3 linked regions of the Macaca fascicularis genome follow. The protein of the gene in region 1 purifies or fractionates together with the protein of each later gene. This does not show direct contact. Links are inferred from orthologs where the notes say so. Each region holds a gene or a part of one and is shown in the gene's direction. Other genes may lie near its edges.

Region 1 (3,512 bases):
TTGCTGTGTTGTCCTTCCTGGGTTTTACACCCCTGGGAACTCATGGCCCTATAGCTCATAACCTTCATAATGGGGCCTGGGCTGTCTTTCTTTTCTTCTCTTCCCAACAGGAGTGGAAAGTGATGCCTGGCTCCCTTTCCATTTTACACTGGCTCCCAGGGGCAAGCGGCCCTCCTTCCATGTGGGCTGCCGGGCCCTGGGTGCCCACGGCCGGTATTTACTGGGACTGAGATCAGATCCTGCTTGTCTTTCACTGATCAGGACGTTCATTCCACCTTTCTACCTGAAATGACCTCACTTCAGACTTTGCTTGCTTCTGTTTCCTGTTTTTCCTTCAATGACTGAGACAGTCACACCTCTACCATAGTCTTGAAAGACAGTGGCTTAAGCATTTGATGCTTCAAGATTTAAACAGCTGAAATTCTTAATTGAATAGGTTTTTATCAGTCATTCCAGAGATGTTACATCCTTGTTAAAGCTTCTTGTCAACAATTTTGTCTTGTCAGGAACAGCCTCAACCATCAGGAAAACAAGAGTCAACTTCAGAAATCAGTGTGGAAGTGAAGGCACAAAGCTTGGTTAGAAGCCCTCCAGCTCCTAGTCCTAGGAAAACTCCAGTTGCCAATGATCAACGCCGTAGGTCCTGCAAAGCAGCCCCTGCTTCCAGCAGCAAATCTCAGACAGAGGTTCCTAAGAGAGGAGGGAGAAAGAGCGGCAACCTGCCTTCAAAGAGAGCATCTATCAGCCGAAGTCAACATGATATTTTACAGATGATATGTTCCAAAAGAAGAAGTGGTGCTTCGGAAGCCAATCTAATTGGTTAGTCTTGCGTTAGAACACATATATTAAGGTGAATTGTTTCATGAATGCTAGTTTTTGAAAAGTTTCGTCATCTTTTTCCTTTGACAGTTGCAAAATCATGGGCAGATGTAGTAAAACTTGGTGCAAAACAAACACAAACTAAACTCATAAAACATGGTCCTCAAAGGTCAATGAACAAAAGGCAAAGAAGACCTGCTACTCCGAAGGTAGGGGCCTCACTGTATGCTGCTTTACACATCCGGGTGTCATGGAAGCTTGCATTCAGTGTGGATTCACGCTTTAATGTCCTGTTTACGTCCTTCCTATTTTCCACAGAAGCCTGTGGGCGAAGTTCACAGTCAATTTAGTACAGGCCATGCAAACTCTCCTTGTACCATAATAATAGGGAAGGCTCATACTGAAAAAGTACATGTGCCTGCTCGACCCTATAGAATGCTCAACAACTTCATTTCCAACCAAAAAATGGACTTTAAGGAAGATCTTTCAGGTAAAAACATAGCCTTAGATATTATAAATCTTTTGACTCTACTGTTTTTTACTGTGTTAATGTTTGTTTTGCTAACTATGTTCATCTGCTGTGAAAGGGATTATAAAAAACGACTGAGTCACCTTTCTGGGGTCTTAGTGTTCAGGGAAGACAAAGCTGGTTTGGCTTGTAAGGACAAGTCTCTACTAATTTTTGGGATCACGTGTCCTGCGTGAAATAGGTGTGGAAATGTCAAATGCATATCTTTACCCTGGAGAGCAGCGTATACATAGAAAGCTGGAAGGTGCTTTGCAGTGAAGAGAGTTAACTTGTTATACCTGCAGCTACACTAATAGTTTATCCCAGGTGTGGACCAGTTGTTTTTGAGCGATATTCTGCTTCTTCAGGATTTACTTTCTAGGTAGCTTAACTTTCTTGAAAGAAAGCCCTATGAGAAGATTCCCATAAACAATTGATTGTTGAAGAAATGTTTCCACTCGATTCCCACTCTGGGTAAATTGTGGCTTGACTTGTGTAATTTAAAGTGGGAATGGCCAGCACGGTGGCTCACGCGTGTAATTCCAGCACTTTGGGAGGCCGAGGTGGGCGGATCACCTGAGGTCCGGAGTTTGAGACCATCCTGGCCAACATGGTGAAACCCCGTCTCTACTAAAAATACAAAATTAGCTGGGTGTGGTAGTGCATGTCTGTAGTCCCAGCTACTCGGGAGGCTGAGGCAGGAGAATCACTTGAACCCGGGAGACAGAGGTTGTGGTGAGCCGAGATTGCGACATTGTACTCCAGCCTGGGCAACAGGAGCGAAACTCTGTCTCAAAAAATTAAAAAATAAAATAAAGTGGGGATGGTGGCAGGAGAGCGATTGTAGGTTTTGTGTTGTATAATTTGTCCAGTAGTTTTTACCGTGTACTATTTGGAAGGGTGGTGAGAGTTGAATTGAACAGGGGGAATCTTATTGTTGTTTTCTAGCAGATTGAGTTGTAAGAGTTGTACTCCTCCGTAATGGATGCAACATACCCTCTGATGAGTCATATTCGGATCAGTTCATTAATCTTTTTTAAAAAACCAAGAAGACAAAAATACAAGACCAAAACAAAAAATATAGATATGTATATATGAGTATTCTTGTAAATTATGAACATGTATGAATGTTCTAATATGTGTGTTACAAAATGTTAAAAACAAACCCTCAAAAATACTTTCTAGGAAAAACAAAATGCTAAATACTCAGTGTGTGGGACAGTGGATTGTCCCCAGCATCCCAGCGTTCCTTGTTTTTCTTTTTTTTTTTTTTTGAGACAGTGTCTCTCTCAGTCACCAGACTGGAGTGCAGTGGCACAATCTCAGCTCACTGCAGCCTCCAACTCCCAGGTTCAAGCAATTCTCCTGCCTCAGCCTCCCAAGTAGCTGGGACTACAGGTGTGTGCCACCACACCCAGCTGATTTTTGTATTTTTAGTAGAGATAGGGTTTCACCATGTTGGCCAGGCTGGTCTGTATCTCCTGACCTCGTTAATCTGCTCACCTCAGCCTCCCAAAGTGCTGGGATTATAGGCGTGAGCCATCACGCCTGGCCCGTTCTTTCTTTTAAGATGGTTTCCTAGAGTCAAGCAGTTCTCACCTGTTAGTATGAGTGAATATCATTACAAAACATTAGCATCTGCTGAAGACTAAATCCTAGGCATTTTATGTAGAAGGGGAGATTTTTGTGAATGGACTGGTTTGGAAGGGAGTTTTCAGAACAGGCTTCCCCTGAACATTTTGCGTATGACTGCCAGGTTGAAATAGCACTTGCATCCGGTGAGGCCAGAATGATACAAGTAAGGAGGACATGAGATGATAAGAGTTTTGCAGAGTTGAACTTCTATATAAATTGCTTTGTTATTATTTTTTTCCTGAGATTATATCAGTACTACTTTTTTTTGGTGTTAAAATGTTACCTGCAGCTACACTAGTAGTTTATCCCAGGTGTGGACCAGTTGTTATTGAGCAATATTTTGCTTCTTCAGGATTTACTTCCTAGGTGGCTTAACTTTCTTAAAGCCCTATGAGAAGATTCCCGTAAACAATTGATTGTTGAAGAAATGTTTCCACTCGATTCCCACTCTCAGTAAATTGTAGCCTGACTTGTGTAATTTAAAGTGGGGATGGCCGGCACGGTGGCTCACGTCTATAATCCCAGCACTTTGGGAGGCTGAGGCCTCCTA
Region 2 (4,215 bases), on another chromosome or scaffold:
TGAGGACATTACTGCATATAAAATGATTACAAGTAAAAGGCAGAAAATGTTTTGAATGGTCATAACTTCCAAGGGTCCTTACCCTTTGACCTCTGGATTGGGGTTCTCAATGACCGCCCTAATATCCTTCTCTACCTACTGCCTTAAGGCCAACTCAATGTATCCACATAAAGAGCAACCTAAAGCCAGTAAAAGATCACCATGAACACCCAGAGGTGTTTATGGCTGTCATTCCAGATCCTCTTTGCTTTTTCTTGACTTATTCCTTCTTTGATAAAGTTATTCGTGTGGTTTGAAATCCAGAATTCAGCTATCCCCTTCATGGCCCTAGTTTGGATTAAAACAATCAGCTTTCTTTTGCTCTGTAGATGGCCTTGAATAGTACATATTAACTGTCAATGGGGCCCCTTTTCCAACTCATGACCACATCCTGCTTGCAGATCTGCTGCTGGGTTAGCACCACATCATCTGCTAGTTGACGCCATTTAGTTAACATCCTGGGGTTACGGCACTCTAAAGGGCATCCATTGTCCTTAACAGAGAAAAATGCACTGCTGAGCAAAGGATTAAACAGGCTCCTCATGCTGCCAGAAGTTCAGTGCATTTTCCGGGATTTTCAAGGCTTCGATGCTGTCATATTGTGAGCCCACTATCCACTTGTATTTATCCATGAATACTGCAGAAAACATGAGCAATCATGAATCTAATCATTGAAGTAAAGTAACCTAGTTATAGTCAAGAGGACAGCTAGTGTTAAACTCCTTCATATAAATTTGAGGAAGGGTTTACATATTCATAATGACTTTCTGATCTGGAAATCCCCCAGGTTTGTCAGTTATTAACAATTGGATGAATAATTCAGGTAGTATTTAAACAAACAGCGATTTCATAGCAGACGCTTCCCCACCCAGGAGATGCAGTAAAATATTAGTAGCAATAGATGCTCCTACCAAGATCTCCTCCTGCCACTGCCACTCTGTGCACAGGAAAGGAGGGAGAAGAAGCCACCTTGCTTCTCTTATATTTGAGCATCATTTTAGACAATATAGGTCTCTAATGACCCACATGTAAGCCTGCTGGGTAAGAAAGTTCTAATGTTGGAATTCCTTTCAGTTATTTAATTTTGTGGGGAAAAAAACTTATTTATTTGTATTTATATACATTTATGAGGTACAAGTGTAATTTCGTTACATGGACATATGGCATATTGGGGAAGTCAGAGATTTTAGTGTACACATCACCCGAAAAATGTTCACTGGACCCATTAAAGTAATTTCTCATCCCCCCACTTCCCCTCACCACACCCTCTAGCCCTTGCCAGCAGGAAACTGTTCATTTTCTCTGACTAACAGAAACGAAAGCTAAAAACACTGGTGGGAGGAGTCTCCACATTGCTCCTACTCCATTCTCTCTGGGGCAATAACAGAATAGGAGCAAGCCAGGACTAGTCAGCTAACTGACTCAACCAAGGCCTTTTTTCCTTGTTATCTTTGCACATACTTCATTTTCTTGGCATTTCTGAAGATTACAACATCCTGCAGTTCCGTTTCTGGGAACTTTACTGATTTATCTCCCCCCTCACACAAAATAATCATTGTTTTCTGCATTGCTGAAGATCTCAACATCTGGACTAGTGTTGAAAAAATTTCCAGTGAGGTGAGTACTGTTGCTGATTTTGTAAATATGATCTTGTTCCTTCCTTGAAGTCCCCAAAATCACAAGGGGACAATCAGTATTCGTTATTCAGGGTCATGGGGTGATGGGAGTAGGGCTGGGTATTCAGAAAAGTTGCCGAGTTGCTTGATAGGAATCCTTCATTTACTTAGGAAGATAACAGGATTCTTTTATTCCACCACAACTGAGGACTGAACAAGAGAAAATGCATTTTGACCACTGCAGATTTTAAAACTAATTCTCTGAGTGTGTATTGGCGTAAGTTGGTACTTAGAAGAGGGCTTTGGTTATTTTGGCTGGAAGAAGCATTGGAAACTCGGTAGCTGTGGTGGGTTCTCAAGATAGTGATGTGAAAAAAGTATCATGAAAGAATATTAAGTAAAAAACACATCTGAACATAGAGGTGTATTATATGACATCATCTCAATTTTATAAAACATGAGAACAAATGTACACATAGAATAGAAAATCTTTTTAAGTTTCACAAACACAGTTATTCATGGTACATGGTGTCTTAATATTTTCATAAATATGTTGATCTTTTACTTTAGCTCCATTCTACAGCGGGTGCTAGGGGCAGAATTTCAGTCATTTTGGAATTACTCTCTGCCCTCCTGAAAGTTAATGATTTTTTTTTCCTTGTGGCAGGGTATAGGGGAGTGGAGGGGAAGTCAATTAGGAAAAGGTTACTATTGCTTACTTTTCAAATTTTTAAAAGATGTTTTCTGTAGCCTGGTACAATATTTCATGTGTGCTTAAATGGAATGTGAGATTTTTAAATGTTGATTTCAGAATTTTATTAGATAAATGTTAAGTTTATTAATTGCGTTGTTCAAATTTATTATATCATTACGGATTTTTTTTATCTTATTCGTTTAGTAATTGAAACATAAACTGAAATCTCCTATTATAAAGTTTGCTTTTTCGGCCGGGCACAGAGGTTCACGCCTGCAATCCCAGTACTTTGGGAGACCAAGGCGAGCTGATCACTTGAGGTGTCAGAGGTTCCAGACCAGCCTGGCCAGCCTGGCGAAACCCCATCTCTATTAAAAATACAAAAATTAGCTGGGTATGGTCGTGCGTGCCTGTAATCCCAGCTACTCAGGATACTGAGGCAGTAGAATCGCTTGAACCGGGAGGCAGAGGTTACAGTGAGCCGAGATTGTGCCACTACACTCCAGCCTGGGCAAGTGAGCAAGAAAAAAAAAACTGTCTCAAAAAAAAGAAAAATTTTTTTTTTCCTTGTAGTGCTCTCACAATCACATATGTATGTGTACATATAATATACATTCACACACAAATATATGTATATAGAATCATGTAGACAAAGAAGTACATACATATAAATATATGTGTGTGTAGTGATGTCTGTGCATGTGTGTATACGAAGAGAAATATATACTAATTATAGTACCACGAAGCACTATAAAATAATAAATAATATCATTAGATAAATAAGATAAATTCATAACTAAAACTGTTATAATTTCCTAGGAATTGAACCTTTTGTCATTATGTGGTATCTGAAGTTACTTTTGGGCTTAAGGTATATTTAAAGTTACACAAACATAGATAAACTGGCTTTCTTTAGTTATTCTTTGCAAGATAATTTTTAACAATTTTTTTCATTTTTTGTTAAGAACATGTATGTAGATTTCTTTTTTTTTTTTTTTTTTTTTTTTTTTGTTGAGACGGAGTCTCGCTTTGTCGCCCAGACTGGAGTGCAGTGGCCGGATCTCAGCTCACTGCAAGCTCCGCCTCCCGGGTTCACGCCATTCTCCTGCCTCAGCCTCCCGAGTAGCTGGGACTACAGACGCCCGCCACCTCGCCCGGCTAGGTTTTTGTATTTTTTAGTAGAGACGGGGTTTCACCGTGTTAGCCAGGATGGTCTCGATCTCCTGACCTTGTGATCCGCCCGTCTCGGCCTCCCAAAGTGCTGGGATTACAGGCTTGAGCCACCGCGCCCGGCCCGTATGTAGCTTTCTTAAATCAAATTTGATGAAAGTTGTCAATTAACAGGTCAGACCTTTTAGGTATATGCTGGTAATTAACAATCTGCAATCTGTTCTTCAATTTATGACAAATTTATATCATCTCACTATCTAAGACAATTGCTTTAGTGTATTGTCATGCTTCTTTTTCTTCCCTCCCTTTACCATGCTGTTGTAATTTCTGTTTCTCTTCTCTTTGATCGGGGCTTTCTTTTTAAGGCATTAGGAGCACCTAAAAAAACTTTATTTTTCACTCTTCTTATCTTTTGGCTGGCAGCATTTTTAATTTTATTCATTGTTTTCTTATTAAATATTATTTTCAATAGATGTTTTCTTGTGGCATGAGTCTTTGTCTTGCAAAAAGACTGCGGCCCTGAGAATCACAAAATAATTTTTGAGACTCTTCTATTTAAATATCATTGTGCCTAAATTAAAACTCCAAATGTAAAATTATATTTTCCCTTAAGACAAGATGAAAGCACCTATTCTGTGCAGTGGAGCTAGATAGATTTTGAAATTAAGAATCTGGAGGCTTCAGAAAGGCTATTTA
Region 3 (3,973 bases), on another chromosome or scaffold:
CAAAGCTATTTCCACAGAAAATGCCCACGGCGACCCACGCACGGCCGCCCAGCCATGAGTTATAGCCCCGCCAGTGCCTGAGACGCCAGGAGGAGGGGATGAGTTGCCCTTTAAAGGCGTAGCGACGAGAATAAGCCCCCATCCGCGGCAATTGGAGGCTGAACAATAGTGCCGCGGCTCGAGACGTGGTGCGAGGGCCCAAACTACACTGGAGCACGCGCGGACCACCGTGCCTCAGCCGCCACAAAGGGAGCCTCGCCACACGCCCGCGGCCGCCTCGCAGCACCCGCCCGGAAGCGCCTGGCGGAAGGGCGCGCTCCCAGGCACTTCCACTGGCTACCTTCCGGCGGGAGCCCGTAGGCGGCGCAGGAGCGACTTTCCTTCCCGTGCCCCACAGCAGTGCTGAGTAATGGTGAGGGCAGCAAGGCCCTTGGCCGTCGTATGTAAAAAAAAAAAAGTTGTAATAAAAACAAAACCACCCGGGAAACTTTGCCACTTAGTTCCCCACAGGTACCAAACTGTGCAGAAAAGGCGGTGTGCACGCCTCAGAGCCGGGACCCAGCAAGTCAGAGAAAGAAAGGAAAGAGAGCAGAAGCCGCAGCCTGCATAACCTCACAACCGCCCAGAGGGCACGGTCGCCCTGGGGCTCGGTCTCTTCCGAGCAGCGTAACCTCCGTGTCTATCAACTCCTTCCGGCATTGCGATTGGCCACAGGCTGTCTTGGCCTCTCGGGCGCCCGCCTCCTAGTTGCTAGGGGTTTACTTCCCCAAAGTACACGGGCCCCACCTTGTGGCGCAACCGCTCCTGCATGGAAAACGGATCTCCGCCCAGGGGAAGACGTGTTAACGAATAAGAGCAGCTCCGCATATTTATTGGCTACTCTGGGTATCAGTCAAAGAACTGCTCACCCGCCTTTCTATTGTACTTTTCGGTTATTGGTCTCTCTTAGTGCCGATCTGTTACTAGGGAAACGAGATCCTCACAGTCTCATAGGCATGAGTCAAAGCCAATCAAGAGCCACGCCTTCATCCCCAGTAAGTGCCCAATTGCTGTTCGAAGAGCCCGGAGGACGCGGTCGGGATTGGTCATCCCGTCGCCCGACCTGGCCGCAACAAGTTAGGGTGAGTGGCAGCTATATAGACCGGCGGCGGAGCACGCGTGTGTGCGGACGCAGTTGCGTGAGGGGTTTCTGTTATCCTTGGTGCTGTGGAGCAGAGCTAGTTCCTCTCCAGCTCAATCAGGTAGGTATGCAGGGGTGTGGGCGGGGCAGGGCAGCCAGAGGACTAAGCTGAGCCGCGGCAATTGTGAGAGGGAGAAGTCTGAGTGGCGCTCGCGGCGGCCGCGCCAGGCGCGTCCCCCACCCCCACCCCAGCCCCAACGGCCGCAGGCGCGCGCGGCGGACGGACGGGAGCGCGGCGGCTCCCCGCTCCCCCTCCCCTCCCGACTGGGGCGCGTGGCCGTGTCCGCCGCGTGCGCGTGCTGCGTTCAACGGCCACGCGGGGCGGGAGTGAGTCGCGGCCGCCGCCCGGGCCCCAGGGCGGCCTCGAGGACTAGGGGCTCTGCGCCCAGCGTTTCCCGCCCGCCACCCACTCCGCCACGCGCCTGCGGAGTCTTTTCGTCCCCTGGCCAAGAGATCCAGTCGGTTCGGACCAGAAGGAAGCTTTCGTTTAAGGGTGGGTGCAGCACTAAAGTCTAGAGTCTTGTGGTCCGCGCGCCGCAGAAGTGCCTTCAGTTTTGCAGGGAGGAAAGGGAGCAGCGAGTGCACGGAGTGATAGTAACAACCAGTGTTCTTTCCACGCTCTCGCTATGTGCCCGGCACTGTGCGGAGCCGCTTTTCTGCCTTTGATTTGATTGTCGCAGTGAACCGGCGAGGTGGGTACGGCTGTCCTCCTTCCGTAGCGGCCCAAGGCAAGGGTCTGGAGAGCGGGGTCACAGGCACGCACGGGAAGGGCGGGGATTTGCTGACGCCGGTCCCTCTGACTCCGAGTCCCCCGCTTCCCAAGCCTGTTTTATTCTTTGCCCCCAGAGCACTTGTCCCTCGGGACAGCATCAGCCTCAAAAGGCCACCTGCCGAGCAGGCTGCAGCGGCATTTGTACTTGGGCTAGTTCTGGGCTTCCAGGGAGACAAGGGTTGGTAGTGGGAATGTGACAAAGGAAAAGGGTTTGGGCTGCTTTTCTACGTGTATTCGTACAGGCCGTGGGTAGATGTGCCGCCACAGTAACTTCTGGAAAAAAGTAGGGAAAATGATGAGTAAGTGCAAAAGAACATCGACTGTGTTCCTCATCGGGTTTGAAACTCAGATTGGTGATGGGAAATTCCCGCCAGCGGGAAGTTAGGCTCCGGTTTTAGACGTTGAATTTTTTTTTCTCTCTATTTTTTTTTTTAATTGGAGGAGGCTTTTGGAGAAAGACCTTGAGAAGATTAACTTTATAGTTGAAGGAAGTGAGGTGCAAAGCAACGAGTTTCAGATCTCACTAGCATCTGTGGGTTAAAATACGGAATTGGAATGGAAAGGATGGCGCCCAGTTACGATATACATTTGATCTCTGTGGCGCGTGTCACCCTGGCCGAATTACTGGTGTTGGAGATGTCTTGGAAAAAACAACTGTGACAGTCGAGATCAGTGGATGAAAGTTTGTGTACACACTCCGTTTATTTAGCATTTACTCTGCTGGGTTCCTGTGTATATGCAGAAACAGGATGCTTTTCTTCAGACACTTGAGATTATATTTTTCTAGTAGAGTTACCATATTTTAGGTTATTTAAAAGCCAGCATACTCCTTGGCTTAGTGAAATAAATCTTCCTATGTTATAGAAACGCTTCTATAAACATAAACGTTTCTATAAACATGTTCTAGAAACTCTTTCTAGAGAAGCTGTTATGCGTTATAATGTAACAATGTTCCAAGTAACATTTACTTGGAACTTTCCTGGTGTAGCAATTCCGGTTACCTGCCCTTACGGACTGGTTAACTATTGAATTAGCATTTTAACTTAGACTTAAAGACGAGCAATTTAAGTTGTCAAATGGAAAAACACTAGAATGATCTGCATTTAAACTGTTAAAGCTTGAGTCCAGCTAATTTTATTACAGCTTGAGGCAAAATAGAATGAAATTACCTTACGCATTATTGAGGGAAAATTTTGTTAGTTTCTACTTAAAATATTAAAAAAAAAAATACAGTTCTTGGCCTCAGGCAAATGGTTATCACTTGGGCAGGAATATGCAAATTACGTGATTATTTCACAGACCGGTGCTCCAGCTGATCACTTGTGCATTCCTTTATCAGGAACTAGTGAGTTGAAGCAAATTGTGGTAATGTAAGGCTTGGCACGGCCGCCCTACATCCCTACCATTGGAGCTGCTTACCGGTAGAAAAGTCTAGCTTTTGTACCTCTTACAGGTAGAAAAGTAGACAGTTCTTTGTTTAACTCAGTTTGCTGTTCTCAGCTGACAGTCCACCAGGGAACATTAGGAGATTTTGGTTATGTTGGTTTGTGACCTACTTAGAGCAGTTTTTCTTTTGTAACTTATGGTTTTTCTTTTTTTTCCCCACTCGTTCTAGTATTTTGCATAGAAAGTGAACGGCAGAAGGCAGTTTTAAGTTTTTGTAAAAGTTTGTGAATTTTATATCGTCCTTAGGACTGATGGGGTTAGTGTTAAAAGACAAAATTTAACATAAAGCTTACATTTGTGACTAAAGCCAATTTTACAATTTTTTATTTTTGTCAGTCTGATAAAAGTACCCACTTGGTCTTTTAACAGTTTGCAAATTGATTTTTTTTGTTTCAGAATTCAAATATGCATTGTATGTTGTTTGTTTAATTATATTGTGCTTTGGCTTCCTTGGACAAAACTATTACTGACTTTAGGAAGAAGAATGAATAATTGTGGAAGTAGGTAGGTCACAAAAAAAAAAAAAAAGAAAAAGAAAGGAAGCCTCGTCCGCCCCCCCAGTAATTTGTCCACAC

The links. Proteins that work in one complex are often made in the same cells at the same time.
Region 2: the proteins of MKI67 (region 1) and gamma-interferon-inducible protein 16 purify together in Homo sapiens (affinity purification with mass spectrometry; 3 studies listed by BioGRID and IntAct, with this or other methods). This does not show direct contact. The link is inferred for Macaca fascicularis from reciprocal best matches to the Homo sapiens genes MKI67 and IFI16.
Region 3: the proteins of MKI67 (region 1) and G3BP1 purify together in Homo sapiens (affinity purification with mass spectrometry; 3 studies listed by BioGRID and IntAct, with this or other methods). This does not show direct contact. The link is inferred for Macaca fascicularis from reciprocal best matches to the Homo sapiens genes MKI67 and G3BP1.

The regions. Positions count from the first base shown.
Region 1 is NC_088383.1:137,074,427-137,077,938, reverse strand, and holds part of MKI67 (proliferation marker protein Ki-67), read left to right. Parts: intron 1-506; coding exon 507-819; intron 820-909; coding exon 910-1,028; intron 1,029-1,137; coding exon 1,138-1,309; intron 1,310-3,512. UniProt on the Homo sapiens protein: Protein that associates with the surface of mitotic chromosomes and acts both as a chromosome repellent during early mitosis and chromosome attractant during late mitosis.
Region 2 is NC_088375.1:102,071,807-102,076,021, reverse strand, and holds the start of gamma-interferon-inducible protein 16, read left to right. Parts: upstream 1-1,404; 5' UTR 1,405-1,656; intron 1,657-4,215.
Region 3 is NC_088380.1:158,622,730-158,626,702, forward strand, and holds the start of G3BP1 (ras GTPase-activating protein-binding protein 1), read left to right. Parts: upstream 1-1,162; 5' UTR 1,163-1,241; intron 1,242-1,509; exon of another isoform or gene 1,510-1,673; intron 1,674-3,973. UniProt on the Homo sapiens protein: Protein involved in various processes, such as stress granule formation and innate immunity. Plays an essential role in stress granule formation.